Linked DNA regions of Struthio camelus. The protein of the gene in region 1 interacts with the protein of each later gene in a biochemical or structural test. Links are inferred from orthologs where the notes say so. Each region holds a gene or a part of one and is shown on either strand. Other genes may lie near its edges.

Region 1 (14,970 bases):
GCCATAGGGCAACAGGACTGACCCTAGGAGCCCCAACTAGAGAGAAACGTAGGCACAGATGCCAGAAGTGCCACCATGCATATTCACATGAAAGCATTACTAATGGCTTAATGCTCTAGACAACAGGTAGCTATTCTTGTCCAGGGACTCTCTTCCATGTTGTACCACCTCACTACTCTTCATGAACATATTGGCTTGCTCACTGAACCCAGATCTAGACATGCTCGCAGGGGGGCCCTCCTACTTCCCTCATGCATGTGTGACTTGGCCCCAACCCTACACTTACGGGGCCCGACTCTCCAGTCATAGGGGGCTGCCCGAACTGTCTGGTCCCTCACGTAGCCATTGTTCACCAAGTTCTGCACCAGCGTGTGCAGGTAACCTAAAGACAGAGAACAAATGGGAATTAGGTCTGTGGTCTTCCCCTGTTACCTTTTCCCACCCTGATCCTGGTCACAGATTTACCAGAATTGCCTCTGGTAAACCTCATAGCTTGATCATTCCATCTGGAAATAGCAACTCCATGTGCCCTGGAGGGGCTGTGCCCAGCGATTAAGGTTGGGGTGGATGCCTGCAGGCGGTGGGAGGACTTGGGGCAGGAAGGGAGTATGTTCCTGGGGCCAATCTTCCTCATTCCCAGGTGGACTGGGCTCTGGCCAGCTCTGCAGAACCTGGCCACGATGAACCCTATGGGCACAGGGACCCCCGCTCCACTTCAGGACTAAGAGCATGGAATGCATTGTAGCCCAGGGCACCCTGTGCCTCTCCACAGAGCTGGCTCTCTCACCTGCCAGTTTGCTCTGATCCAGGTATTCCACAGAATAGGTCTTGCCAAAGCCAGGCACACGGATGTGTACCCCAGGGGCATTGGACATTTTTCGAGAGGTTCGATTATACACCACCCTGCAGGGAAAGGACATAAAGTAGCAGCAAGGACAACTCCACAGGGGACGGGCAGAGATCACTGGGTGGCAGCTGGGATCTGGGTGGCTATTTTCAGTTTTGTGTGGAAATAGGAGGACATGGACATGGATTGCAGGTGCCAATTGAGCCAATGTCCCCATGTTGTTACTTTGGGCTCCCTGTTCGGGGATCCTTATAAGAGATTGAAGCTGTACCACTCAGGGTGCAGCTCAGCAGATCTAGGCTGAGATGAGCCCATACTACAGTGGTGTTGGTGTGTGGGGACTCAGATGGACCCACAATGCACGAGGCAAGATGGCTGAGGACCGAATGTAATCTGTGCTCTGCAGTGTTGGCCACGGCTTCCCAGGGCAGAGAGCAGGTAGCTCAGGTAGATGATGTCCTCGCCAGGACATCCCCCAGCAAGGACGGCTCCAAGGTACAGGCTTGGCCTGCCAGCACATCTCACTGCCCCTGCAGCAGTTCCCAGGAAGGATCCCAGGTACCTGAACAGCGCTTTTTTTGCTGGATGTCACAAATGCTTCCCCTTGACAGATCTGGGGGCTGTGCTGCTTGCCAGGGCCTGCCCACACCATGAGGAGGGTGTCTGGGGGTGCGCTATACTCTGGACACCTCTGGTCACCTCTGCAATGCTTGGCAAGGGTAGTGCAGACAGACACACAGCAAATTTGTTTGTGCAGCTGGTGGGAAGGGGTGCCATAGGAAGGGCTCCTGGGGGAGCTGCCTATCCCAGAGCTGGGGGCTCTTCTCCTCCTTGGGTCAGCATCATGGCACAAGGAAAATCCTGCCTGCCCTGAGGAGATGCATGAGTTTCCTCTGACCAGCTCTGAACAGCTTCTACTGTATTACATTTCCATCATTCAGATCCTCTCTCAATGACTAGGTACTTCTAGAGCCTCTTTGTCTCATCCCAGGCTGATATCTCTGCCTGAGCACATGAATTGTGATCTATGAGCGCCAGCCACCCCGGGGGTCAGGACAGGACATCTCTCTCACCCTGCTGCCCTAGGCAGGATGGCAGTGTCTCTAGTACGTGCTGAGGATAGTCTGGATGGAACAAGCACATGGCAGGGAAACGGGAAGGGGGCAATTGGAATATGTTTGTCCATGAGAGCTGGAGCCAAAGAGGTATGTTAACACACACAGGGTGTTCAGCCAGGCAGATGCTCCTGTGGTTTCCTGTGTGTGCTGGGTCGGGTCCAGGTGGGGAGGAGAGGGGAGGGAGATCCTTGGTAGGTCATTTCCCTGGGGAGCTCCCTGGGTGGGAGGTGAGTGGTACCTGGTGTTATCGATCCAGCAGTCTACTCCCACTGGCAGGAACGTGTTGAGGTTGAGCCAGATGGTGAAATAGTCCTCAGTTTTGCGGTAGCACATCCAGTTCACCACATCTGGCTTGTCCAGCTTTGCTTCCAGCTGGTTCCCAAGGCACCCAGGCACTAGAGGCACCACAGGGAGAGACAGAGGCAGTTAGACCTCATCTCGGTGGCTCTGTGGGGCTGCTTCGGCCAGGCAGTGGTCAGGGCACCCAGCACTTCCCACAGTCCCGCTAGCCAGGGCTCCCTTGAGGAACCTGCTGTTTGATGCAGTTGGAGAAGCATCCATGGAGAACAGCCTGTACAGCCCCTTGTCCTTTCAATGCATAATTTGTGTGAGGGCTGCTCAGAGCTGGGATGCAGAGTGAGCATGGAAGCAGCGGCAGCATGCTAAAAACAGGCTCTCAGGGACCCGCTTCACTGCTTTTTCCTGTGGCTCCTGCTGCACATGCTGCAGACTGGGCCACCAGGGGATGACCGTGAGAACAAGCACCCTCACCGAATGGCTCAACATCAGCCCAAAGGTGTAACTCCCTGCCAGCACATAACATCCTGGAGTATTTCCCCCTGCCTGGATGGGTTTCCATGCTCCTCTCTTCTCTCCAGCCTGAGGGAAAGAGTCAGTGCTGCTTGGACCCAGCCCTACCACCTGCCCTGAAAGTGGTTGCATCGCACCAGCTGTCACCCCAGGCATTTTGCACTGCGGTAGCAGGCCAGCTTGGGGCTGCACGGAGAGGCCCCAAAGAGGCGTCCAAGGTGAAAGCTGTCCCCGTGCTGATGCCCAAGGCCCACACACTGTTTTCCTGAACTTTAAACCCTCCACACAGGCTGAACAAGGTCCCTGAAATGATTCAGCTCTGAGCAGGACCGTACCCTGTGGGAATTCAGTGCAAATATCACTTACAGTAAACACAAAGCTGTTTTAAACAGGTTCACGGCCTGCCACATGTGACCCAGGCTCCCTCAACAGATGTAGCACCAGGACGCCCTGTCCACCTTCAGGAGGTCCAGTTTGTTTTTTTGGCAGGGATGGGGGCTGGGAAGCTGTGCTGCACTGAAATATGTCTCTGCTCTGCCACAGCCCGTGCTGGGAGGTTGTTCCCAGCCAGTGTGCAAGAGTTGAGAGCTGTCTCCGGATGTCAGTGCTGGCCCAAAGGGTTGGGCGAGCACAAGTGAAAAGACTGCAGGGCATCATGGCTGCAAGCCTGAGAGGATGGGAGCACTGGGTGCTGACTGCACCCTACAGCTGCAGTGGGTCCACCCTGCTGTGAGGGCTGGCCCTAGACACATCTGCTGAGGAATGACATATGTCTTAAAGCTGCCGCAAGCACTGTCCTCTATGTTGCTCACCATGTGACCAGATAGGGTGATTCCCCACTGCTGACTGAGTGTATCAGCAACAGAGCCTCGTGGCATTCTACGCTCGGCAGCACTGGGAGAGCATGGGGCTGGGAAGAGCCTGGTGGCATGGCTGGGACACCTGGGCTTGGCCCAGCTCCTCCACAGGCCCTGGAAGATGTGGTCCTTCACATCACTTCTCCCAAGGACACAGCAAACCGCTCTGTGGCAGCGACAACAGGACTGTGGCCAAATGTCTTTGTAAGATGCCTGCCCTGAGCTGGCCTGCAGCCTGGAGAAGGGCTCTGCTGTGGCTGCAAGACCCTACAAGTACAGCTGGATGTAAGCCATGCTCCCTGGCATTAGGGCTGAGGGATTCAGCCACAGGTGAGGCTGTCTTTGACCCAAGAACGATGTGTCCCATCTGTCAGATGCCAGCAGGACATTTCCCCCAGCTCCTGCTAGGCCCAGGTGTCCCCGTGCCCTGGGGCCTATGGGAGTGGGTGTTCGGGGGAGCTAGACGTGCCCATGCAGAAGGGTGCAAAGGCACCCTGACCAATGTTCCAGCCCCACCTCACCTATTGTGGCCCCAACTAAAAGATGCAGAACATAGTCACAGCCTCTGAAAGCCTTGTCCCATGTGAGCGGGGAATGGGATATGGTGGTTGCCTTGCTCAACCTGCTTCATAGCTCCCTAGCACCTGTTGTAGCTCCTCAGGGATACAGGAAGGGCCTAATCCTGCCTTCAGATCACCTGGTGGGGGTCAGGACATCTTTCCCCAAAGCACCTAGTGGGGGTCAGGATATCCTCCCCAGTGCCCGAGTGGACCTTTGCATATGAGACACCAGGCACAGGCAGGGGAGCGGACAGTGAGTGGCTGCCAGACCTGCTCTGAGAGCAAGAGAAGAGTCCAGGGCAGCTCCTGCGGCAGGCAATCACCCTGAGCCCCACAGGGCCACAGCAGAGGGCTAACAGCTCCCAGAGGTGCCAGGGACTGTCAGGAGCACCTGTGGCATGGGGCAGACATCCTGTTACCTTGCTGGACTGCGGCTGCAGCTGGCTCCCAGTCTGTGGGCACCAGGCCCTGTGGGCACCAGGCCCCCACGCTCCCGGTGTGCACAGCCCTGAGCTCTGCCTCACCTTAAAAAGGACATTAGGTAATTATTAAGGGAGTTCCTGTTGGGGCAAAGGGGTTATCATTGGTCCCAAGGGCACTGGGGGTTTCTGGGACGCCCGGCTGAGGGGGATGGGCTACATGTGGATGCCGACAGGCGCACAGGGTGTTTGGTCGCAGCATTCCTGGCTGACTGCATGCTCCTGGCATGTTGGCTCAGCACCAGCTGTAGGGGCAGCCCCAGCAGCCTGAGTGCCCCAGCCTTGGCTAAGGCTGAGGCTGGCACTGGGGGCACAGGGCAGAACCAGGAGCCCAGTGCCATGGGGCACTGCCTCTGCTGGGATAGTAGATGCAGGTGCTTCGGAGGAGGCAAGGCTTGGGGCTACAGGCACCTGCCCTGGGGTGTGCGGACCTGGACTCCAGATTCCTGTGGGGCCAGGCCAAGGCAGAGGAGTTGTTTAGGGTCTGGGGGAGCTGCTGGTGGGCAGTCAGAGCAGCTGTGGGGGAAGACCCAACCTGCCCCATTTTGCAGGGCCTATCAGTGGGATGGTAGAGAAGCTTTTATTGCCACAGACCATCCTGAGAAGATGCACAAGGTTACTTGTACCACATCATTCCCTGCCCTGCATGGTGACAGCCACCAGGCCTCCTTGTGTCCTCCTGACCTCTGGCATGGCTAAGCAGTGCCTGCATTGCACCACTCAGGCTCCAGATACAATGCCGTGCACCAGGCTGTGCTCTTTAATCCTGCTGCCTCTTAACCACTAAGTAAAAGAGCCTGGCAGGCCACGGCTGACCCACGCCTGCCATGTGCCAGGCTGTGGGGCTCTGTGCAGGCTGCTCTGCTGCCCCCAAGCACAGAGGCCTGCCCATGGAGAAGTGAGTTTATAGTGTCAGTCCAAGGCCATATGTCAGGCAGTTCTGCTTTTCTCTTCTCTTTTTAAAAGGGAAACTCAGTTAGTTCGATTCAAGAAAAAGGAGAAGAAACCTCTGCTCAGAACAGATTTCATGGCAAAAACTGATCTCCACCTCACTGAGGTGATTCCCCAGGCCTCTTCTTTTGCCTCTCTCTGCATCTCAGCTAAGCAGAGAAACTGCCTGCTAGTTCATCCACCCTTATGCTATTCCCCAGGCAAGAGTGGACATTTGGTCTAACATGAGGTGGATGCCCTTCAGCAGCAGGGGAGGATGAAATTAACCATCATCATGGAGCAACAAAAGACATGGGGGATTGGGACAGGTTTGGGGGCAGCAAGGTTGTGGATACAGGCTTACTGGGATGGCAGCAGCAGCAGTGGGAAGCCACAGCACTAGGGTCTCTTGCAGGCCCTGTCCCTATGCCAGCACAGCCCCCCCCAAATGGAGTGAGCCCCAAAACACCATTTTATCCAGCTCTTGATATTCTGAGCCCCACTTGCTTTCTGGGGTACCCAGCCTGCCCTCCTGGCTCTGAAGAGCTGTGGCCAGGCATGGCAGGTCCTGTATTCCCAGCACTGCCGATAGGTGCGGGATTGGGAGCTCTGTGTCACCACCCTGAGGTGGCTCCACCAGCACAGTAAGATAGCCAGAGACTGCAAAGGGGGTTGCAGCCTCCCACTGCAGCCAACAGACACGCCAAGCAGTTCCCCATGCTGCCGGGAACAATGTGCCTTGCCTCTAGCCAGCTCTGGGGCTGTGCAGCGCCCCAGCGAGCAGAGCCCAGGATGCCTGCTGTGCCCCTGCCTGGTGCCAGGGCTGGCAGGTTGTAGGCCAGCATGCGTGATCTTACCGAGTACCACGGGTGGTGTGCTGTTGGTCGGGGGTGCTTCTGGGGTGGAGGTGGGTGGAAAGAGCACGTTGAAGAGCCAGAACTGGGATGTGGGCTGCAGGAGCAGTAACAGTGTCAGCAGCGCAGCCCCAATGCCTGTACTCCCCATGGCAAACTTGGCTGGGATCCTTTCAGCGTCTCCAAGCAAACAGCCTTTTATATTTTACGCAGGTCCGGCCAGAGGCACCCAGGCTGCAGGGGAGGGGAGAGCTGCAAGGGGCTGGCCATGATGGGGAGGAGGGACGGGGAGGGCCAAAGGATTGGTCTTGCAGACATGCTATCCCCTGAAAGCACAACCCTGCTGTGCCCATGGGCTCTCTGCACCCCGGACCCCTGCCTGTGGGTGCAAGCCAGAGCAGGCAGGCAAATTTTGCAGCCTCGTGGTACCTTAGGTGGCCTTCAGCTGCGTGCTGGGATTGTGACCACTGTGCAGGTCCCTTTGCCGTGTGCTGCGGGGTGCTCGCTCTGTGTATTTGTGAACACAACACCTCTGCACATCTTTAGTGAGGGGGTAAGCGGTGGGAGGACAACTGGCACTGCAGACATGACCAGGCAGACCTCAAACCTCAGAGGTTCCCATCACAGCTGGGACAAATCAGGACAGCCCCTCACACACCATGGCAGCAGCATATCCCACAGCTCCTCCAGCATCCTCACAAGCACTGCCGCTTCCCCATGGCCACCCTTGCCATCCTGCCCACTTATGCACCTCCCTGGGCACAGGCAGTCAGACCCCCACCTTGGGACTGGCTGAGCCTGAACACGTTCCCAGGCAGGGGCCATGCCATGACTTGCTGCCAAAAACACGTTGGAAGGAACTTGTTGAACACCAAGGGCTGCAGGGCCCATAAGATATCCCTCTGTGCAGTCCCTAGGCCAGAACGATGAAAGAAATAGCCTATGGGGAGCACGGCATGAACTCGGGGACTGCTCGGGACCCCTTGCCTGGGCCTGGGCAAGGGGTGTCAGCAGGCAGGGCTCTGCCCAAACAGCCCCCCCACCATCCCACCGTGGGGCTGCCTCCCGGTAGGGTCTAGCACCCTGCGTGGCTCCCGCTCTGCGGGGCAAAGGACGGGGACGGGATGGAGTCCCGGGGCAAGGGAGCCCCGCTGCCCTCGGTGCCAATCAGGGATCCCGCAGAACCGGCCTGAGGCCGGGGCAGGCCAAGGGGCACGAAGAGGGGGGCGGGGCGGGGCCAGGACCCTGTCCCGGACCCCCTGTCCCACTCCCGGCGCCACGGGGCCGCTCCCAGGGCAAGAGCAGACCCACATCCCCCACCGCGCCCGCCCGAGCTAAGAGGGCTCCGCAGGCGCGACACTCCCCGCCGCGCCCCAGGCCCCGCCCCGCCGGCGGGGCATATCCGGCCCTGCCCCGCTCCGCCCCTTCCCGCGGAGCGGGTTCCGGGGCCCTGCGGTTTCCTGTCTCGCTCTGCGTAGGCCCGACAAGGCCGGGCCGCGGGTCGGTAGCACCGTCAGGAGCTGGTGGGGGTGTAGGGCCGCCGCGCGGCGGGAGCAGCAAGGGAAGGGCCCGGAGCGCAGGAGGCAGTGTGAGATGGCCTTTCCCCGAGGAGAGGGGCCGGAGAGGAAGGCTGGGGCCGAACCTGGGGCTGGTGGTGAGGTGCTTGGCAGCACCGTGCTGGCCTGCTGATGCTGAGGCGTAGCTGGTTTGCAGCGATTGCAGGAAATGGCCCCCCTCACCCGGAGGAGCTAGTCCCTGCCTGGATTTCCCTTGGGTCCTCTAGCTCCCTGCCCCCCCGGGGCTCTAGTGACACAGAGAGGTGCTAAGGGGGCACCGGTTGCTGGCAGCTCCCCGGGGACCCCTGAGGCCTTCCACAGGCACTTGCCTGGGCCGAGGAGGTGGTGGCTGGTGAGAGGAAAGAGTTGCTGAGAAGGAGCCTCAGAAAGGAGTTGTTTGACCCATGTGTGCATGCATGTGGGAAAGAAAAGCTTTAGGGGTCTGGAGTAGGGCACGTGGGCCTGCTGCTGTGCCCAGCCCCCTGCTCCAACCGCCCCCCTTCCTCCTTCCCCCACCCCCTGAGTGTATGAGAGCTGGGACTAGGTCCTGCAGGAGCTGGTGGCCAAGCAAGGGCCTCTGTGTCATCAGGGTCCTGGGATGACTGGGAAAAGGGGGATGTTTTCAGTACTGATGATGGTCATGCGTGCGCCTAGAAGCAGAGGCGTTGTCAGGAGAAGTCTCTTTATTGGGCAGATTCCCCAAGGCATTGTGAACTGAGCCTGGCACCCGGGCAGGGCAGGGCAGTGCAGTGAGTTCCCATCCTAGCCCTTCAGACAGCAGAGCAAAGCCTCTCTGCTGTGTAGGGCCTGGGCAGGGCTGAGCCCCCAGCAGGTCAGGCCTTGAGGAGTGCCCCTGGCTGTGTCCTGGGGATGCTGCTGTCATGCTGGGGTTGGCTGAAGTCCTGCTGTGGCCCAAGGTATGGCACAGGCCAGTGCCAGAAGGAGAAAGAAAAGGAAGAATCAGTCCTGTCCCACCTGAGCCATCACCCCCTCTCTTTCAGGCTGTACAGCACTAACCATCTGACATGACAGGAGCATGCCAGTAGCAGGCAGCTCCAGGCATCTCCCCTGGCTCCAGCGCTCTCTGCCATGACCCCCAGGAGCCCTCCATCCTGCTCCGCATGGCCTCATCCCTCCCAGCTCGGCCTGGGAAGGATGCTCAGCGATGGCTGGAGCAGCTGGCCAGATCTTGCTTTTATTGCAGACCCAGCACTGGAAACTGGAGAAACTGGTAAGAAAAAACAAACCAAACTTCCTAAATATGATCCCTTCTGCCCCTTCTGTCAAGGGCAGTGCTGGGAGCTGCCCTTCAAGAGCTGGCAGTGCTGGGACTGCCTCCCCTGGCCAGGGCAGGTTTTCTGCCTGCTCTGAACCCAGTGCAGCCCCTGTTTGTGTCTGGGCCAGGCAAGTAGAAAAAGGCTTCCTCAAGTCTCCCTCTCAGCTTTTCATCTTTTTCTTTCTCTGGTTCTTAGTAGCAGAAGTTGGGTTATTTGTATTACTTTGGTTTCCCTGCAATTATTAGCAGGCCGGTGGTTTGCTAGGAGAAGCTGGCACCCCTCAAATTTCATTTTCCCAGTAGAACCATGGCCTTATAAGGCAGCGCTTTTACCAAATGCAAATTGCTGGCTGATGCCTACTGTCTTTGGAGACAGATGTGCCCTGGTGTGCCCGAGCCTGGTCATGCTGCCTGCAACACAGGGTGGGCAGAGGAGATGTGCTCCCTGTTTTGGTCCTGAGAGCAGTATGGAGCAAGGACTGTGTGCTAGGCTGTTTGCCTAAGCAAGGGCTGCAGAACAGGCACTGAAGTGGGATGCAGGAAATGGAGCTGTTTGCTTTTATTGGTAGCACATCCTGCACAGTGGAAGTGTTAGCAGGAAGTCAGCAAGATAGGCTAGACCCATGCCTGGCCTGACCTTCCCCTAGGGGTCTGATCCTATAGCTGAGGGGAAGAGCAGCTCTTCTGCATGCCCCTACCCTGGCAAGATGCTTTCCATGTCCTGCCTGGCTGACACCTCTCAGCCCAGCCGGGGGGACCCCTGTCTCCAGAGAGGGAACAGTGGGGCAGGAGGTGGTGGAAAGCTTGGGCACACCCTGCCACCGGGCTGTTGGCCTCCCCCTGCAGAGCTGTTCCTCCAGGCAGTGGTAGCTGGGCGATGCTGGGGATGGGGCTCTGCCCAGTTTTGAGGCAGGGACGCTGCTGGGAGCCCCTGTCTGCTCGTGCCGGGTCTCCTGTGGCCCCTGGGTTTGGCACAGCCCCATTTCTATTGCCACAGGGGCAATTCTTACCCTGGCAACATGGCGCTGGGGCTGCAGCTTGGTCCCCATGCACCACTCGGGGCAGCAGGAGGGCTACCCAGCTCTTCTGTGGGAGCAGGCATCAGGGTCCATGGGGGTTGCGTGGCACCAGCTGTGGGGAGGTATCACTGAGGCTGGGTCTGCAGCATTCCCTTCTGGCCTGTACAAGGTGCTGAGTGTCCCTGGGGCAGCAGGAGGGGAGGCAGACCAGGGGCCGGTGCTGGGACAGGGCACCTGTGACCAGGGGGATGGGGTTTGGTCCTCCTTGGTCCTGCTGGGCCCAGGAGGGTGGCAGCAGGCAGGATCTAAGTGGTCCCTCAGCTGCTCTTGCCACAGCAGCCTTCTGGTCCTTTGTGTCCCTGGCTCAGCATCAAGAGCTCAGCTGTGCCCTGTTCCCTCTGCAGGACATCCTCACCCCTTTTCTCACCTTCTTGGGGACCATCCTGTGGAACTCTAGCTGCTGTGTGTCAGCCAGCTGAAGGCCAAGCTGGACGGCCAGTAGCATCCCAGTGGATGGACGGTGAAGCCCCTATGCATCTGGTTGGGTAAGAGCCTCGTGGCCAGAAGACCCAGCTCCCAGTGCCGGAGGTGACAGGGAAGGTGTCCCCAGATCCCTGGCATAGGATCTGGGGTCAGACCCTGGCAAGGTCCTTGGGGACATGGGCCCATTTTGTGATCTCCAGCACTGCACCGCTCCTTCCATGAGGACAACCTTGGCTGGCAGATGCCAGCAGTGGCAGCTGTGGTCATGGCAGCCCCACTGCATCTTGTAGGAGGCATGTGTGATCGCCACAGGCAGCCCTGGGCCTTGGACAGAGTCCTGCTCCCCGTTAGAGGAAGCTGGCTGGCTCCTTGCTGGCACAAGTCACCTCCACCTTGGTGAGCCCTGGTCTAATTTGGGCAGTGGGAGCCCCTGCTGGCACCCCATCACTGATGCTAGCTCGCTGGGTTTCCTGCAGACCTCATCTTGACCTTCTGGCCAGGGCATCCTGTGGTGATGGGCCCCAGACACATATTCCCTATGAGGTAGGTGAAAAGGCTGTTGTTTACCCTTCTTTCTCCTTTTTTGTTCCCCCATCAACTCCCTGCCTCAGTTTCCCCTTCTGGGCATGGTGCCGGCCCCCAGGCAGCTTGGGGGCTGGGTTGGAGGAGAGTCAGGCTTGAGGCTCTCCAGCCAGCAGGATTTGAGCCAAAGATGCCAGTCAAAGCACAGCTCCAGAGTGGGGCTCCCTGCTTTGTCTCCTGGCAGGTTGTACTACAGGCAGGGCTGTTGTATGGGAGAAGATAGAGCTGATGCAGTGTAACAGCATAAAAACCAGCTGGGGAAAGAGGCTTGCTCTAGAGCTGTTGTGGGTGGAGAGTCTGCACTCTCCCGGGTGAGTATAGGATGAGGGCTGTCCTGCCAAGTGCCGGTTGGAGTGGAACCGGGAGAGGGACCAGGATGAGGACCAGGGCTTGGATGGGGATGATTAGGGCAGCCGGGGCAGCAGTTGGTGGCAATGCTGGGGAGGCTGGAACGAGGACGGTCCCCCAGAAGCAGGACCATCTGCTTTGCTGTGGAGCTGGGCCAGGTGAGCCAAGACGCTCAAAATGCCCTGTGGGGTGATAACGCAAGACTAGGGGCTTTGGAAAAATGAGGGAATTCATTTAAAAAAATAAAAAACCCTGAATTGCCTCCAAAGGAACAGCGCAAAAAGCAAGATGCTTGCAGGTCACTCAAACGTCTGGCATTGAAAGCACAAATAACCTGGGTGCTATGACTGGAATGGTGAAAGGGGCACAGTGAGTGACTGCCTGGCTCCATGGGAAGGCAAAGGGGCTGCTGTGGGGCAGCAGTGGGGCGATGGGGCTGACGACAGTGTCAGGGCCGCTAGCTTTCCCTGCAGCAGCATCTCCTGTCACCCTGGGAGCCGCACGTTGTTCAGAGGGAGCTTCATTGCCTTTTGCTGAAGGCTAGATCCTGCATGTTGCAGTCCCTTACGGTGAGCAGCAGGGCGCTGAAGTCCTGCCTGGTATGGGGCTTGGCCTCTTCCCAGCATGAGGCAGGGAAGGCACAGCAGCAATGGGGTCCTGTTGTGCTGAGTACCCCAACTTGGCTGGGAGTGATCCCTGTTCTATGTACTCTAGCGCCTGAGTGCCTGCAAGAAGAAGAGATTTCCTGCCAGTCCTTCCCTTCTCCCCTCTGCACCAGGAGAGCTGAGCAGGAGGTGGCCATGCTGGAACCCCATGACACAGCCAGAACCCTTCTTGGGGTGCAGAATGCCTATCCTTCTGGGCAGGATCCATGTGTCCATGATGTCTATTCCATCTGCTGGGCTTGTCCCACCCCTGCAGTGCTGGCGGGGATGCTTCTTGCTGCACAGGTGATGCTCTGTAATGATCTACCCTGCCTGGCTTTGCAGGTCATGCATAGGAAATCCCCAAACATGGCTGGTGAGACACCTGGAGGCTCCCTGTGAAGCAGTGACAGGCATCGCCTGCAGCACACGAGATAACCATGCTGGTGAGGCCTGGGGACAGGGCAGCGCAGGCCCCTCATGCTGCCAGGGAACTCTGGGGACAAAGTGCTGTGTTCCCTGGGGAGAGCAATTTCTGGCAGGGAGGAATAGGAGCCATTAGGGAGCTGCCTGTGCCAGTGCCTGTGCCAGTGCCAGCACTGAGCATTGCAGGGGTGTGCTGGCAGTGCTTCCTTCTCTGGACCAGGGAAACTGTTTGCCTGTGGCACCTTGCCAGCCAGACCAGATGGTGGGATAGTGCTGGGGCAATTTCTGTTCGAGTTTCCAGCAAGGCTTTTGACACTGTCTCCCATCACATCCTCGTAGGTAAACTCAGGAAGTGTGGGCTAGATGAGTGGACGGTGAGGTGGATTTAGAACTGGCTGGATGGCAGAGCTCAGAGGGTTGTGGTCAGTGGTGCAGAGTTTAGTTGGAGGCCTGTAGCTAGTGGTGTCCCCCAGGGGTCAGTCCTGGGTCCAGTCTTGTTCAATGTATCCATCAATGGCCTGGATTGAAGGCACAGAGTGCACTGTCAGCAAGTTTGCTGATGATACTAAACTGGGGGGAGTGGCTGACACACCAGAAGACTGTGCTGCCATCCAGAGGGACCTGGACAGGCTGGAGAGCTGGGTGGAGAGGAACCTCATGAAGTTCAACAAAGGCAAGTGCAAGGTCCTGCACCTAGGCAGGAATAATCCCATGCAGCAGTACAGGCTGGGGGTTGACCTACTGGAAAGCAGCTCTGCCGAGAAGGACCTGGGAGTGCTGGTGGACAACAAGTGAAGCCTGAGGCAGAAATGTGCCCTTGTGGCCAAGAAGGCCAATGGTCTCCTGGGGTGCATTAGGCAGAATGTTGCCAGCAGGTGGAGGGAGGTGATCCTGCCCCTGTCCTCAGCCCTGGGGAGGCCTCACCTGGAGTACTGTGTCCACTTCTGGGCTCCCCAGGACAAGAGAGGCATGGCGCTACTGGAGAGAGTCCAGCAGAGGGCTACAAAGATGATGAGGGGACTGGAGCATCTCTCCTGTGAAGAAAGGCTGCGAGAGCTGGGCCTGTTGAGCCTGCAGAAGAGAAGACTGAGAGGTGATCTCATCAACGTGTACCAGTAGCTGAAGGGGGGGTGTCGAGAGGATGAGGCCAGTCTCTTCTCCGTGGTGCCCAGCAACAGGACAAGAGGCAACGGGCATAAACTGCAACACAGGAAGTTCCGTCTGAACCTGAGAAAAAACTTCTTTCCTGTGAGGGTGACAGAGCACTGGAAGAGGTTGCCCAGAGAGGTAGTGGAGTCTCCTTTGCTGGAGATATTCCAAACCCGCCTGGACATGATCCTGGGCAATGTGCTCTAGGTGACCCTACTTGAGCAGGGGTGTTGGACTAGGTGATCTCTAGAGGTCCCTTCCAACCTAAACCATTCTGTGATTCTGTGATTCTGTGATTCTGTGATTCTGTGATTCTGTGATTCTGTGATTCTGTGATTCTGTGATTCTGTGATTCTGTGATTCTGTGATTCTGTGATTCTGTGATTCTGTGATTCTGTGATTCTGTGATTCTGTGATTCTGTGATTCTGTGATTCTGTGATTCTGTGATTCTGTGATTCTGTGATTCTGTGATTCTGTGATTCTGTGATTCTGTGATTCTGTGATTCTGTGATTCTGTGATTCTGTGATATCATTGTTTATTTTGGATTTCTTGTTAGTATGTTTTTCTTGTCACTCTTCATTTTGCTTCTCAGTTTGCAGCCATGTTATCTGTTCCTGAATTTGACTGTTCATTGCTCGTTGTCACTGTTCATTTAGCGAATAAATTCTATTTCACTGAGTGTTTCATTTTACTTATTGGTTGTTTTACTCAGCGTTCCATTCACTGTAAAATATATCCAGTCTTGGGACATTGTTTTTCTCTATTCACTGTTCCTTTGGCTTTTTTTCTGCCATATTCTCTATATTTTCTTGTTTCTTGTGCCTATTATGACTCTTCCTTTTGCTTGTTTTCATTAAAATAATTTGACGTCGAGTTAATATGGCTGGCCAGTGGACTTCTTACAATGGAAGAAGGCTATGAGGAGACAGGCAAGGGCTTTGCACTCATGGAGCTCGGGGAAGTACATAGGGAGTGACTGCCCACTACTCTTGCAAAGAAAGCTGAAACATAGATAGGAGTGAGGGGGTGC
Region 2 (15,052 bases), on another chromosome or scaffold:
CGTCCTTGTCTTCACCCCTTGCAGTTCTCCTTTTCCTCCGCTGTGACGTTCCCCAGGTCTGCGCTGCTCCGGGGAGCGCTGACCGGCTCGCCAGGGCTGTGCCCGCTCCTGCGGGGCCGGGGGAGCCCCAGAAAGCGCCCAGCCGACCCGGGCGCCCTCCGTCCGGGGCGCCCGCGGGGGGCGGCAGCGCAGCAGGTCGGTCCCCGCGGCCGTCCCGCCGCGCGGAGCGGGGCTCCGGCCGGAGCTGCAGCTGCAGGGCTGCAGCCGGGGCCTCGTGCGAGGCGAGGGGCGCGGGGAGGCCGCCGGCCCACCTCGGCTGCCTCTGCAGCCCGCCCGGCCCCGGCGCCAGGGCTCGGCGGCGAAGGCGAAGGGGGTAGGGCCTTGTGCCCCAGCCCGGGGCGGGCAGCATCGCTGCCGGCTGCTGCGGGACGGACGCGGATGCAGACACGGACACGGCGTGCACCACAAGGCTCCCGTTTATTTCTGCCCCCGCGCGGGCTGCGGCTCGGTGGCCCTCAGCTCTCGGCCTGCTCCGCGGCGCTGAGGAAGGAGGCCACCTTCTCCTGCACCTCCTTCTCCAGCAGCTCGAGGTGGTCTTCGGCGCCGGCCGTGCCCGAGTCCAGCTTCTGCCGCAGCTCCTCCAGCCGCTGCACGAGCTGCTGCCCGAAGGCCTCGCCGTAGGGCGCCGCCTGCCGCCGGAAAGCCTCCACCGTCTGCCCCACGCGCTCGTCGAGGCGCTGGGCCAGCGGGGCCAGGCGCTGGTGCAGGCTCTCGCCGTCGCCGGCCAGCGCCTCCCGCAGCTCCTGCACCAGCGGGCTGAGCTGGGCGCGCAGCTCCTCGCCGCTGGCCGCCAGGCGCCCGCGCAGCTCCGCCGCCGCCCGCTCCGCCTGCAGCGACAGGCGCGCCAGCTGCCGCTCGAGGCCCTCCTGCACCTCCCGGGCGTAGGGGCTGAGCCCCCGCCGCAGCTCCTGCACGCTGCGCTCCACCTGCGCCTTCAGCCCGTCGGCCAGCGGCGCCAGCTGGCCCTGCAGGCTCTCCACGCCGCTGTCGATCTGCTCCTGCAGGCGGTCGGCGTAGGGGCGCAGCGAGGCCTGGGCGCTGCCGGCGTGCTCGCCCAGCCGCTCGCGCAGCTCGGCGCCGTAGGGCTCCAGCGCCCGCCGCAGCTCCCCGGCGCTGCGGTCCACCTGGGCGCGCAGCTCCTCCGCGTAGGGGCTCAGCTTGGCCTGCAGCTGGCGGATGTTGGTGCCGATCTGCTGGTGCACCTCGTCGGCGAAGGGCGACAGCTTGGCCTGCAGCTCCGCCAGCTCCTGCCGGATCTGCTCCTTCAGCCGCGCCGAGTCTTGCGCCAGCCAGGCCTGCAGCTCCGTGGCGAAGGGCACCAGGCGCCGCTGCAGGTCCGCCGCGTACGAGTTGACGCTCTCCAGGTTGCTCTGGAGGAGGGTGCTGCGGGGACGAGGGGGTCAGGCGCCCTGCGGCTTGCACCCACCCCGGCCAGCCCCCGCGGGGCCACCTTCCCCCCCCCCCCCCCCCCCCACTTACTTGAGCTGCTTGGTGAGCTCGGCTTGCTGCAGCTGGTCCACGGTCTCCTTGGCATTGGTGCCCAGCTCCGTGAAGTACTTCCAGAGCACGCTGGCCACCTGGTCCGCGCTGACGTCGGCCCGCGAGCCTGGGGGGGCGTGGGGACGCGGGGCTCAGGGCTGGCCTGTCCCCGCGGGGCCTGCACCGCCACCGGGGCTGGGGCACCCCAGCCCTCCAGGGCCCCCACCCACCCGCCCCTCACCTGCGACCGCCAGGAGCACCAGCACGAGGGTGGCAGCCTTCGGAGACATCCTGAGCGGCGGGGCACGGCGGCGTCTGCGGGAGACGAGAGCGGAGATGAAGGCACCCGGGAGCGGGCAGCCCTGGTGCAGCACCCGGGCTCCTGGTGATGCACCCAGAGATGCACCCGGAGATGCACCCAGAGATGCACCCAGTGACGCTCCCAGCGGTCCCTCCCCAGCTCCGCAGGCGCAGCCCTACCTGTGCTGCTGCCGGGCTCCGGTACCTGCCGTGCCGGGGTGCACCCAGCCCGTATTTATACGGCAGCAGCACCCGCGCCGGCATCCACGCGGGCCTGTGACACACTCCCCGGCTTGGACTTTAGCAAGGTCGCGACGTGGAAGCGCCTGACGTGTGCACGGCGCTGTCATCGCCGAGAGCCCTGCCAGCTCCCGGCAGGGCGCCAGCGCCAGCGCCGCCAGGCTGCCCCGGCTGAGCCCCCGCGTCCCCCGCCGCGGGGCAGGCTCGGACCCTCCCCGGGGCAGCGGCTCTGGGGACACCGCGGGGACCCCGTGCTGGCGGCCACCGAGTGCCGCAGGGCAGAGCCAAGGGAGCAGCTGGGCCGTGCACACGCTGCTGCCCTTGAGCGGGGCTGGAGCCGCGCGTGCCCTGGCCGGGGGCCGCGGGGCTCCCAGGCCATGCCTGGGGGGTGCACCCTCCGGCTGGGGCCAGCTCGCGCCCCGGGGGACCCGCTGCGGGCTGGAAGCAGCAGCGACGTGTCCCGGCTGGGTCGAAGTCCAAGGCTGGCGGAGGTGGAGATTAGCGAGGGGACAGCGACGCTGATGTCCGAAGAGCCTGCGGCCACCTCGCCTCGCCCACGGCAGGGCCGGCGGCCGAGCCAGGGCAGCCCGGGGCACAGCCCCAGCTCCGGGGCCGCGTGCCGCAGCCCCAGGCCTGCCCCTGCCCGGGGCACCCCGGGGCCTGCCGCCCCGGCGGGGGCCCCGCAGCCTGCACGGCGGCCGGGCACACGCACCCGCAGCCGTGTGCACGCATGCACACGTGGCAGCCAGCCCCCGGGCAGCGGCCTTGGCCCCCCGGGCGCCGGGGGATTTCTCAACTCGCGAGGGGAAGGCAGGCCCCTCCAGAGCAAACCGGGCGGCTGGAAAAGCGGCCGTAAACGCGCCCTCCTCTCCCCACCGGCCGCAGCCGCTGACCTTTGCACAAACACCCTCGGAGGCGGCTGTGGCGGAGGGTATAAAGCGGGAGGCCGGGGCTGCCCCTGCGTCGCAGAGCCCCCGGCGCAGCGCGGCCAGGTGAGCGGGGCGGCCGGGCTGGGGCGCCCGGCAGGGGGACGGGGTCGGCACTGCCGGCGCCTCCTTCCCGAGGCGCCAGGCCCCGGCGCAAGCCCTGCCGCCCCGCGCCACCCGCCGCCCTCTCTCCCCAGCCATGAAGGTCTCGCTCCTGCTCGCGCTCCTCTGCACGGCGATGCTGGCGGCGGGAGCAAGTAAGGGGCCGGGCGAGGGCTGCGGCAGAGAAGGACGGGGCCGGGGGCGCGCGGGGCGCCGGGGCGCGTGCACGGGGACGGCACGGCCCCGGGGCTCGGGCCCTGCCGCCCCCTCCGACGGGGGCTTGCCTTGCAGGGGCCGAGGCGCCCGGGGAGCCGGCGGCGCTGGTGAGGAAGGTGCAGGAGTACGTGCAGCAGGCCACCGAGGTGGCCAGGAGCGTCCTCACCACCGTGCGGGAGTCGGAGACGGCGCAGCAGGCCAGGTGCCCCCGCCGCCCGCCCCGCGCCCCCCGGCCGGCCGAGCCGCCGGCGGCCCTGACCGGCCCGTCCGTCCCCTTGCAGGCAATGGCTGGCGGATAACGCCGCCCTGGCGAGGCAGCAGCTGGCCTGGCTGAAGGAGCAGCTGACGGAGCTGTGGAAGCGGACGCCGGCCTCCTAGCCCCTCCGCGCCGAGCGGAGCGGGGGCGCCCGGCACCCCCCGGAGCAGCGCGCCGGCCGCGTCGCGTTCGCGGCAATAAAGCGGAGCTGAAGCGAGACGGATGTGGCGGGGGTCACTGGCGGGGCGCGGGGGGCCGCGGGGCGCCCGGCGGGGCCGGCTGCGGGCTGGGCACGGCGGCGCCCGGCGGCTGCTCCTTGCCCGCTTGCGCCGGGGCCGGGCGAGCGGCGCGCTCCAACGCCCCACGCGGGCCCCGGGGCGGCGATGCGCCGGGGAGCGGCGGCCGGTGGCGGCGCACCGCGGCCCGAGCGCGGGGAGAGCCGCCCGCGGCACGCAGCCCAGCGCTGCCCCGCGGTCGCCCACCCCGCTGCGCCGCCCAGCACGGGGGGAGCGGCGAGCCCCGCTGCACCCTGGGCAGAGCCGAGACGGGCACCCGCGGGCTCACGGGCTGCCGCAGCAGCAGGGAGCCCCCCGGGGCACCCACCCTGCGGGCTCCCCGCAGCGGGGGCTGCAGCCCCTCCACCCCGACCGGCTCCCTGCAGCCCCCAAATCCCGCAGCACCCCCTCCCTAGCCCCCTGTCGCAGCACCGCTGCTCAGGGTGCAGCTGAGCCCCGACCCCGCTCATGGCATGAGTGCCCGCAGGCGGCCTGCCCCCCCCGCCCCGCTTCCAGAATCCACTGCAAAGACTGAGTGAGCTCCAATAACTTAAGTCATGTTTATTTGACAAAAGAAAGGCAAAGCAGAGACAGACCCCGGCTCGGGGAGGGCAGGGTGGCGAGCAGGAGGACGGGGGGCCCCGCGGAGCAGCCCCCGGGGCTGGCCGGTCCCTGCGGCCTCCCCAGGTGCGATGCGCCGGGGCAGGGCTGGGGGTGGCCGTGGGGCCTGGGGGCAGCGGGAGTGGGATGGGGCTCAGGCCATCTTCTTCTGGAGCTCGTCCAGGAAGCTGATGAAGCGAGCCTTGAGGCTCTCGGCGTAGGGCGTGAGCTGCTCCTTGAAGTCCTGCACCAGGGGCGTCATCTTCTCGCGGAAGCTGCTGAGCTGCTCTATCACCTTGGCCTGGTACTCGGCAGCCTGGGGGATGCCCTTCTCCCGGATCTCCTCCAGCTTCTGGCTGAGCTTCTGCCGCAGCTCCTCGCTGTAGGGCGCCAGGTTCTTGCGCAGCTCCTCCACGTGCCCGCGCAGGCGGTCCCGCGCCTCCTCAGCCACCGGCGTCAGCTTCTCCTGCATCAGCTCCACCTTCTGCTTGGTGAGCTCCTTGAGCTCCTGGGCCACGGGCGCCAGGCGCTCGCGGTACTGCTCCAGCTCCTCCGTCCACTTCTGCGAGAACTGTTCCAGGAAGGGCCGGATCTTCTCCTTCACCTCATCCAGGTCCTTGCTCAGCTCCTTGCGCAGGGCCTCCGTGTCCTTCAGCCACATCTCCCGCACCTCCTTGTAGTAGGGAGCCATGTCCTCGTGCAGCTTGGTGGCGGCCGCGCTCAGCTTGTCCAGGTTGTCGGCCAGCTTCAGGCTAGGGAGAGCGGAGCGGCAGGGTCACGCACGGCCCGGGCGCACGGGCACCCGGCCCCGGTGGCCCCGGTGGATGCCCCGCCACCCACCCACCCCACTTACTCAAGCTGCTTGCCCACAGCAGAGGCCTCGAACTGGGCAATGGCATCCTTGCCGCTGGACTTTATCGTGTCCAGGTACACGTCCACCATGTCCTTGAGGAGGTCCAGGGACGTCTGGGGCTCATCGCGCTGCCAGAAGTAGCGGGCCTGGGTGCCTGCGGGGCAGAGCGCGCCGTGCTGAGGCCAGAGCGCCCGGGGGGGTCGTGGCAGCTCCGTCCCCGCCGCGGCGCCGGGCCAAGCCCCGCTTGCAAGGGGCCGGCCGCTGCGGGAAGCGCTCGGCTGCGGTGGAGCCGGCAAAGCGCTTTGCGAGTCGGCCGCCTCCAGCGCGGCGCGCGCGGGCTGGGCTGCCCCGTCCTGCCCCGCGGCCGGGCGCCTGCAGCCTCCCCGCTGCGCCCGGCGCTGCCCCGGCGCCGCTCGGACCTACCCGTCAGGAAGACCAGGGCGAGGGCCACCACCACGGCTCTCATCTTCGGGCTCAACCTGGGGGCAGAGCGAGACGGTTGGGTGCAGGCAGCACCGGGAAAGGCCCGTCCCGGCGGGAACGGCGCTCAGCAGCCGGCCCCGACGGCCGCAGCGCCGGCTGAGCCCCCCGGCCTCGCCGGGGCGGCCGGGGCAGCCAGGCACCGGCCGGGCACACCCTGCCCCGAGGCGGACGCCCCACGGCGGGACGCCGGGCGGCAGACCGGGGCGGCCCCCGCCGAAGGAGGCAGCCCGGGCCGGCGCGCCGGCGGCCGGGGGAGCGCAGGCGCTTACCAGCTGGCTGCTGCTGCTGCTGCTGCTGCTGCTCCGCTCCGGCCGTCCCGTGTGAGCCCGCCGCTTCCCCACGGCCGCTATTTATGCAGGAGGGGGCAGCTCTCGCCGGAGATAAGGCAGCGCCGCCGAGTGAGAAATCGCTCCGCGGCGCGGGCGAGGTGGCGCGCAGAGTTCAAGGATCGTGCGCACAGCCCCGGCGCGGGCCAGCGCGGCCCGGGAGCGCCGACTTGGCAGGGGCGGCCGAGCAAACAGGAACTCCCCGCGGCACGCGGCTCGCACGCCAAGCAGCCTGTTTACGCGCCGGGTGACCCAGATTCCTGCACGCTGCTTCGGCCCCACCAGGGCCTCTCGGCAGCCCCCGGGTTTTGGCCAGGAGCCCGGGCACAAGGTCTATACCTGCAGGGATTTGGCCTGCTGCTCCCCAACCCCTCGTCTTCCTCTCTCCACCATCGCAGGCTGCTGCCCCATCCTCCCCCGAGCCGGCGAGGCCCACGCTGGCCACGTCGCCCCGAGAGCCCCCCGTTTCCCGATGCAGCCCGGAGCCAGGGTTGCCTGCGTGCTCGCTCCAGCCCTCCCCAGGGCCAGGCAAAGGCTCGCCCTGGAGAGCGCGGCCGCCCAGGGCATCCCCCGGCACCCGTCCCTTGCGGTGCCGCAGCCTCGCGGGGATGCTCGGGAAGCACAGCTCCCTTCCCTCATCGCGAGAGAGCTGCTTTCCCCTTCTCCGCAGCTCTCCACCCCGGCCCGCGCCCATCTCAGCTCCTGCCCTCCAGCCGAAGGGCCTCAGGCTGTCTGCCCCCGAGCGGCGCGGCTCCTGCGAAAGCCCGGCTTCAGCAGGACGTACGTGGCAAAGCGGGTGCAATCCCCAGCGCTGCCCTTCCCTGCCCCAAGAGGGACGTGGAGGGGGGCAGCAGCCCAGCCGCAGCCTGCCGGGGCATAAGGCAGGGCGGGCAGGCGGCTCTGCTGGGTGCTTGCCCCGGCCAGGCAGCTGCCAGGGCTGCTCCAGCACGGAGGCGGCGCGCTTCGAGGCGAGGAACTGGGGAGCCAGGGAATAGAGGGATGGAGAAAGCAGCAAGGATCCCAGCGTGGCAACGAGGCCCTACGTAGAGGGTGAGGGAGCGGACCCCAGCTGGGGAGGGGCCGCGCAGCCCAGGCAGCAGGGCTGGGCGCTGCGGCGTGGGCTGGAGGTGCCCAGCTTGGCTGCTGGCGGCCAACCCTCGCCCCTGCGCTGGGGGCCTGGAGCGGCGGCGGCAGCGGCAGCCGCTCCGCTGCGGTCGGCGCGGGAGGAAGCCGCCGCGGCTGCACACGACTCAGCCGCATGATGAGTCAGCCGCGGCGCAGCTCCGCTCCACCTGCCCCCGCTGGAGGTCACGGTGCTGCGGGGGGGCAGGGACCGTCAGCCAGCGATTTCAGAAAAACATCTCGCTCCCAGGCACCATCAGGCGCACGCCACCTCGCCGGGCTGCAGAGGTGGCAGCGCGCGGGCCCCTGCCGCCCCCAGCAGCTGGGGTCCCCGGAGCAGGCTGGGCACGAAGAGCGCCCGCAGCCTTCACCCCACCGTCCCCCCTGCGGAGCCAGCATTGAGCAACCACGCAAACACGAGGCCACAGAAGGTCGTAATCATGGTTTTATTTGTCATGATCCCACTGTCCAACTAATTGACTAGTTGCAAGTGACCCACAAAAAAATGGACTGAAGATTTTACTGAAACTTTTAGTCCAACATAAATGAGGAAGAAAAAATACTTCTGACATTTCCAAAAAACAGAAATAATAGCAAAGTATATTAATATACATTCAACATATACTGCGCGTATTGATTACTACAATACAAAGCAATGATAAAAAAAAAAAAGTGTGATACTGCGAAATGGCACGGTTAAGCGAGTCCCTGCTTTTTTTGGATGCTTATTGTAGGGTGGCTGTCAACTCTCCCAGAAATACAGTGTCATGTAAACAAAAGAAAAACAAATCAAAGGTACAGAGCAAAAGGTTTCTTGGTATCTTCCCGCTGAAGTCCGGCAAGCCCTGCCTGGTTCCCCGCATCCCCCCCGACCCCACACACATGCCACCTAGTTCACAAGGTTAAGAACGTAACTCGATAGCTATACACCACCAACACTCGCGCGACACTAGCATTTCAGCAGAAACGCTGACCCGGGAGATGCTGTTTGTCAGCTGCAGAATTTTCTCCTTTCCGGTTTTCGAGACTGCAGATCCATGGAGCACTATTTTCTTTGGGGGCAGGGGGAGGAGGAGGAGGAGGAGGAGGGAGGACAGGGAAGAGGCATTGGTAACGGTAGCAAATTAACCTTTGCCATGCTGGTTTCACACTTCCTTCTGTGCAAATTCAGGAGGGCTGGATCGATTTTTCTTTAAAAAAAAAAAATTCCAAAAAAGTGTCAATAAGAAGGATTTCTGTCGTAGCGCGTAAAGTTCCAAAGGCAACGATGACACCACGTACTCCCCGAGCCCCGACTGCTGCAGGGCGCTTTGCTTTCTATCACTCAAGGAAAGAATTAAAAGAAGAACAAAGAGGAGACCTATGCACATTTGAACTGTATAAAGGAGAATACCACTTCCGCCACTGGCACGAGAGAGAAAACCAGTCACAATTACAATGTCATTAAAAGAAATAAAATACTTTGAACAAAAGGTGCAAGTCACAATTCATATAGAACAGAATCTAGTTAAAAATTTCTCTCAAACAGAAATTCCTTTTGCCTTTTATTAATAACAATAATAATAAAACAACATTTACCAAAAAACAATTCCTACGTGATCAGGAGGAAGAGCTAAGAAAACAAAGAAAATCTGTCTTCCCTACATTAAGCTGGGGGGGGGGGGGGGGAGAAAAAAAAAAGGGTTGTACATGGATTTGAAAAGAAAAGGTAAACAAGGGGAGGGGGGAGAAGTGATCCTTTTACACAGTGACAAAATGAAATAAAGAACGAAAGCAGACAAAGAGGAGACGAAAAGCGTATTGCACCAGGGCCAGGCGCCCCCCACCTGCCGGAGCCCGGCGGCGGGGCGCGCCGGGGGCTGCTGGGGGCCCCAGGAGGGCCGCGCAGGCTGGCACGTCCGTTCCTCGCGTTGCTCCCACGCTCAGGTCGCTCCGGGCCCTTCCCCAGTGCAAAGGGTTAAAAGGTGGAAGGACACCACAGCCTCCAGCCGCCTGGAGCCAGCTCTGCGCCGAGACGGAGACCGGCTGCCCCAGCTCTGCTGCGCTGCCACCTGCCTCGTCCCTTCCCCGCCAAGGCAGGCTCCGGAGGGCAGGCCCAGCCGCTCCGGCTTGCTGCCGGGCCCTCGAGCAGAGACGGGCGGAGGGCGAGAGCGGCCCCACGCCCCCCTCGGGCCTGCCTGGCCACGGACAGTAAAAGCCCTCGAAACCAGACACAGCGCGCGGGCTCTGTGAATCCCCTGCCAACGTGTAGGACTCGGGTTCTCTTGCTATTTCTGTGATAGCTGGAGTTACAGGCAAATATGGCAAAAATTAAAGAAACCAAAGGAACAACACACTGGATGAACTGATTATGAGGAAAGGGGCCATGGTATTCCAGTTAGTCAGAAATACTACGGCAATTTGGCGCAATGCTGCTAGATACTGTTGGTTTAAAATGGACCTTTTCATTTCAAAGCTGTACATAAAACCTGCAAAAGAGAGAGAAGAAGCAGGGATGTGTTAAAGGACACCACAGGAAGGCAATTCTGCTTCCCCAGCCCTTTACCAGTTGTCCCAGTCCGGCCCACAAGCTCTGCCCCAGAACAGAACAACAGCACAAAAATAGAGGAAGGGGCACTGTCCCTGGGTGACCGCAGGCAACAGCAGACAGCCACGAGGGCAGAGGCTCGCAGCTGACAGTCTCTTCCTCAGACTTGCGCCAAGACTAGAGCAAAAGCTGACACAGGGAAGGAGGCACACAGGGAAGCCAGGCCAACGGGCCTGCGGGTCTGCCACCAAGGCAACCCTGGAGCGGGCAGGCAGGCAGAGGGGAGAAGGAGGCGGCTTGAATACTCACTTCCTCCTTGTTACACTCCTGCCTGCTCCATCCCGAAGGGCACCTCCGGGTGCTTGTAGCTCAGTAGGACGTCTGTAATACATGTCGATGGGTAACAAGAGGTGTTTAGATGCTGGTTACCATCGCCCAAGCTGGGATGCTCTTGACCTTCCAAACTTTCCCCGCATTCTGTAAGATCAAAACACGAGGTCAAGTTCGTACAGAGCGCGCTATGGAGTTACAGTTTCTGCTGATCTGCAGATTCTGCTTTCTGTGGATCAGGCCAGCTGGAGAGGTTGCCCACGTTCCTCCAGGAAGTCTAGATCACTGTTGCCACACGTCCGGGCTCTGGCAGACAGCAGCAGCGAGGGAAGCTCTGCAAGCCGTTACAGGCTCACGTTCAAAGAACGTTGGTGTTGCAGGGGTGGGAGGGGAAGAGGGATGGCTGAAGCATCCATCGAGGCCTCAAGTACAGTGAGAAACTGAAGTTCTCTTTAATTCAGTTTATCTAAAGAGTATTAAGAGACGGACACGATCATATCGGCGAGCTCCTGCCCGCGAGCGGTGGCCAACCCTTCAGTTGCCACAGCTCTGCCGAAGCACATCTATTACCCCGTTCTCAGCCACCCTTCAAGCAGCACGGGTTCCCCTGCAGCCTGTGCCCCCACCTTGCACCCTGCAGGCTCCGCTCATTCGAATGAAGCGGAGGTGGCTTTGCAGCCCAGACTGCCAGCTGTCCGACAGAACGACGCGGACTCTTTCCAATTCCTGACCCACACCCCCAGCGTCCTGTGCCCTCCAGGAGATGCCTCCACAGCCTGGCGCGAGTCCTTACCCTCGCTCTCCCTGTCACGCAGCTGCTGGCTGGCCATGAGTGACGACTGGCTGAGGACAGCATCAGACATCCGAGCAGAGCTTAGTGCTTTTCCTGCCATTAAACTCATTCCAGGCAAGTTATCTAACTGCACCTGCGGAGACAAGGGGACGCAAGTCAAAAGGGGCTCGGAAAGACACACCCTGCTGCTCCCCCCCCCCCCCGATTCTTCTGACAGGCTGCCTGGGGAGTCTGCTTCAATATTAAGCAAACTGGGCATGCTAAGTGAAGTGTCCCCCACAGCATTTTATTCCCAGCAGCCGCACAGAGCAGGAAGCTGTCTGTTCTACATTGGACACCTCACGTGTAACCCATACACTTCAGGGAGGCTCTGCACTGTCTTAAGACCCGCCAGGCACAGGGCTCTTCAAACCTACGTAGGCATCATCACTGTTCTGTATGGTGTGATGTCTCTGCAGGGTCCTGGGCCGCGGATGCTCGCTGGACGCTGGTCGCGCAGGGTAGCCCAATCCATTGTGGTCAGGCACCTGCATCGCTTGTCCAGGGGAACTCCTGTCCATACAGCTCCCTACGACGGACTCTTGAAAATCAGACGAGAGAGAAGAGAGACAGGTTAGTACAAGGAACCCGCAGCTCTCAGTGACATACCCCATTACAAGACCGCGGGGTCTCAGAGATCTGATGGCATGAACACGCGCTCATCAATGAAAGAGCAGCGTGCTGCTGGCCAGTGAAAAGGTAATCAACTGGCTGTTCTTGTTCAAGTGATGTGCAAGAGCACCACAGCACGCAAACCAGTCCCTTCCCAACCGCCCTCCTGCACTGCCTTCTTCCCCCGGAGCCCAAGCTTACCCTGCATCCTCCTCCCCCCTGCATCGCCCACACTACACAAGAGGGGAGGGAGAGGTGTCTCCCAAACCTCCCACCAGAGGTGTTCCAGCAGGGTCACTTGGCAACTACTAGCGACACAGTCTTACTGGAGGAGTGCCAGCTATTAGCTTTTATCAGATGACTTCTCCCTGCCCTCCCGCAATCTGGCTGTAGGAGTACATGAGTGCTCTGCCTGGCAAAGTCCACCTGCACTGCAAGCTCTTATGTCCGAGGGTAAAGGCTACATTCCTATCAAGCAGAACCTAGTGTCATCAAGTACACAACGTTTTGAATCAAGTACTGAGCTCTGGAGAATCCTATCATCCGTTCGGATGCCTGTAAACAGCTCTCTTGCAGTGAGCAATTCTTCAGAGCACAAACATGTGGACGTGGCCAGAAGCACTAAGGAGTCACCCAGAAATGACACGGCTGCAGGCAGATCCCCAAGTCCAGATCTAGTCAGGTTTTTTGGGGACCTGGTCAGCAGGAAGCAGTCCCCCAGTTGTGCCAGGTGCAGCACGCTTCTTGGCAGGGACTGCAGACTGGGAAGTGCAAGAAATACACTCTCCAAGGAGATGTGTCTGTAAAAGTACCAAAATCTAAACAAAACTTTCCGAGGCAAATCTATCATCTGAGCGTTATTTGCCAGCAAGCGAACATCTTCAGCACATCAGTTAAATGCCCTTCCCTGTAGGAAGGCACCACCCTATGTCACAGATATTGCAGTATTGCAAGAACCACTTCAGGGAGAAATCAGAAATACAGCTGGCCTTTCTCTTCCTTTGCACAACCGCAAGGTTAAGTTTGGTTAACAGTTCAGCCTTCCCGGAAAAGTAAGAAACAAAACACGAAGCGCACTGGAAAAGAAAATGTTGGAAAGAGCGGGGAAGAGAAGTGCCACCCACGCACTGCTCGGGCGGCTGTTCCAACTGTGGTAATGGTGGTTTGAGTGGGCAGATGCCAGCAGCTCACTCCTGCAGCTTAACAAACAACTTCAGGGCAAAACTGCTGTCAGAGCAAGATGGGCTAAGATGAGGAGGCCCAGCAGCAAGCCCTCGTTAGCAGCCCCCATTCCCAAGATGACAAGGGAGTGTGTGTGTGGGGGGGGGGCTCCCCCCTTCAAGAGGGCTCCCTTTGAGCTGCAACTGCAGACAAATAGGGCCCTGACCCAGAGGAAAAATCAAGCACTCCCGATTCCCAGAACAGTCGGTCGCCTCTCTCAGGATCCAGCTCAGGCAGCAGAGGAAGGGAGGCCTGAATTCTCATTCCCTTCCTCACTCCGGTCACATCCCAGTAGACCAAACCCACAGCAAGAATACCTTTTATCCACATATTCATGAGAGATCTGGCTCCTGCGCTAGCTGGTCTTTGTGTATGGGTGCAGCATGCGACACTGGCAGTGCACGCAGTGCCACCACAGGCAGTTCCCTGAGCGCCAAGGAAAGCAGTTTTCCCACGGGCAGTATTCCCAGTGCTTTGTGACAGCTAGAATGGAACAAGTCTGTAGCAGAGTCTTTCAGATGCAGCTTAGTCACATCCTAAACACCGATTTGGTTGACGCTCTCGCAATCTCCAGTTACTGACTGGGGCGGACGCTCCACAGACAAGCCAGGGCTTTTCAGTCAAGTGTCCCTGATTGGTCTCTGCTAAAATTATTTCAGTATTAAGCAGTACTGAAGTCCCTTAGAGGGTACACATACTCCTGAGGCGCTGCAAAGCTACAACCCACTTCCTAGGAGAAAACACACCTTACATAAGCTGGGGAGGGAGAGGAGATACCCGTCCTTTCAAGAAAAGTTGCAGCCTCTTACAATGGTACAGTGAAAACAACTGGATAGCTCAGAGACACGGCTGAGGAAGCCAGCCTTTCAGTGCGGGGAGGAGGGCAAGTCAGCAGGCGGCATCCAGGAAACAGTGTCATGCTTGTTTGGGTTTAAATCGCCTCCTGTCATTCTGTAGTGCCCGGTGCACGGCACTTGATAACATTTGGGTTGCCCTATAAGCAACTGAATGAAACAAACACGCGTTAGTGGTATTGACATTGAGGTTTTATAGGATTTAATTGTAGATAAGTGCACTAGGCTGCTTAGATGTCTAGTCCATTTGGAACTGAAGTAGCACAGGCCAGATTCCAAGTGGGTTATTAAAAGCAGGAGGAAAGCAGTCTGGGCACTTAGATCTCTGAACATAGCTTACTGCATGAGCCCTCCAAACAGCCCCTGTCAGAAGGGCTTACACAATACTATTTGTAAACATTTACTTGCTTTTACTCATTTACAAAGTCCTGTAGTCTAAAGTCCTCCTCCCTTGTGTAACTGGTTCTAGCACCATCAGTACTGAGGCAGAAATTTGGCTCGACTTCGTTAAATCTTGGCATTTCACACACAGCTCATCTAACTATGCCTACAATATTAGGCTATAAACTTAAGGCTCAGTAGAAAAAGGAGCTCCAGAGCTTGCAAACTCTGCTTAACCTGGTGTAATTCTTCCCTTCTGTGCCTCAAGCACAGCAGGGAAATTGAAGTCTGACAGAGAAAACACATCAATAACCCAAAACTTAAAAGCACTTCTGAAAGGCCATGCCTTGTCCTTATCCCGGGCGGGGCCGAAGCCTTGGCTGCCCGCTCTGCCCTCCGAGCGGGTCTCTTCCAGCACGGTCCCTTTCCCAGCAAGCCTGCGGTGCGCCCCCAGACAAAGCAGTGCCTCCTGTGCCCAGGCACAGCACCTCTACCCTCGGGGTCTCTGTGCCAAGGGAAAGCTGGTGGCTTCAGACCCAGCACAGCTCAGGCCTGCAGCGCATACCAGTCTACCCACCTCAGCCTGGAAAGCCTCTCTTCAGAGCCACCTTAAGGAGGAGGTAGGATTTTGTTTTTCATACAGAGAAGGCCTGTAATTACAGCTCTGGGAGGGATTACGCTTACGGCACATAACTGCCAAAGCAGCCACCAAGGAGCAAGGACGCAACTGTTTACAGCTGGGAGAAAAGGTCTTCAGATGCTAGTGACAAGTTTAGCAAACTTCACTTTCTTCAGAACCAACCCCTTATAGCTCAAGCAGGGCTAAAATCTTGCTGGCGCTGCTTTCTGAAGCGCCAGAGGAGCTAGTGCAAGACAGACTTAGCTGTGAAGGCACTTATCACTGCTCTTACAGCACATGTTTACTGAAGCTTTAGCAATGCCTGGACTCCTTCACGCTGTTCACGAGTGGAAAAAGTACACCACTGCAGCTGGGGGTAGGCTAGTAACTTAACTCTTTCTAGTCTATTGTTCACAGAGGATGGAAGACGTCGCCAAC

What was found.
Region 2: the proteins of LCAT (region 1) and APOA1 form a complex in vitro, tested with the Homo sapiens proteins (6 studies listed by BioGRID and IntAct, with this or other methods). The link is inferred for Struthio camelus from reciprocal best matches to the Homo sapiens genes LCAT and APOA1.

Annotation. Positions count from the first base shown.
Region 1 is NC_090951.1:24,508,058-24,523,027, forward strand, and holds the start of LCAT (phosphatidylcholine-sterol acyltransferase), read right to left. Parts: upstream 6,729-14,970; 5' UTR 6,607-6,728; coding exon 6,459-6,606; intron 2,361-6,458; coding exon 2,204-2,360; intron 904-2,203; coding exon 788-903; intron 383-787; coding exon 287-382; intron 1-286. UniProt on the Homo sapiens protein: Central enzyme in the extracellular metabolism of plasma lipoproteins.
Region 2 is NC_090963.1:1,390,900-1,405,951, forward strand, and holds APOA1 (apolipoprotein A-I), read right to left. Parts: upstream 6,708-15,052; 5' UTR 6,060-6,707; intron 5,787-6,059; 5' UTR 5,774-5,786; coding exon 5,731-5,773; intron 5,462-5,730; coding exon 5,308-5,461; intron 5,207-5,307; coding exon 4,609-5,206; 3' UTR 4,391-4,608; downstream 1-4,390. Other genes in the region: APOA4 (apolipoprotein A-IV), read right to left, coding at 516-1,443, 1,540-1,666, 1,781-1,854, 2,020-2,189; APOC3 (apolipoprotein C-III), read left to right, coding at 3,205-3,262, 3,399-3,525, 3,605-3,701; serine/threonine-protein kinase SIK3, read right to left, coding at 10,085-10,242, 10,889-11,021, 11,305-11,468. UniProt on the Homo sapiens protein: Participates in the reverse transport of cholesterol from tissues to the liver for excretion by promoting cholesterol efflux from tissues and by acting as a cofactor for the lecithin cholesterol acyltransferase (LCAT).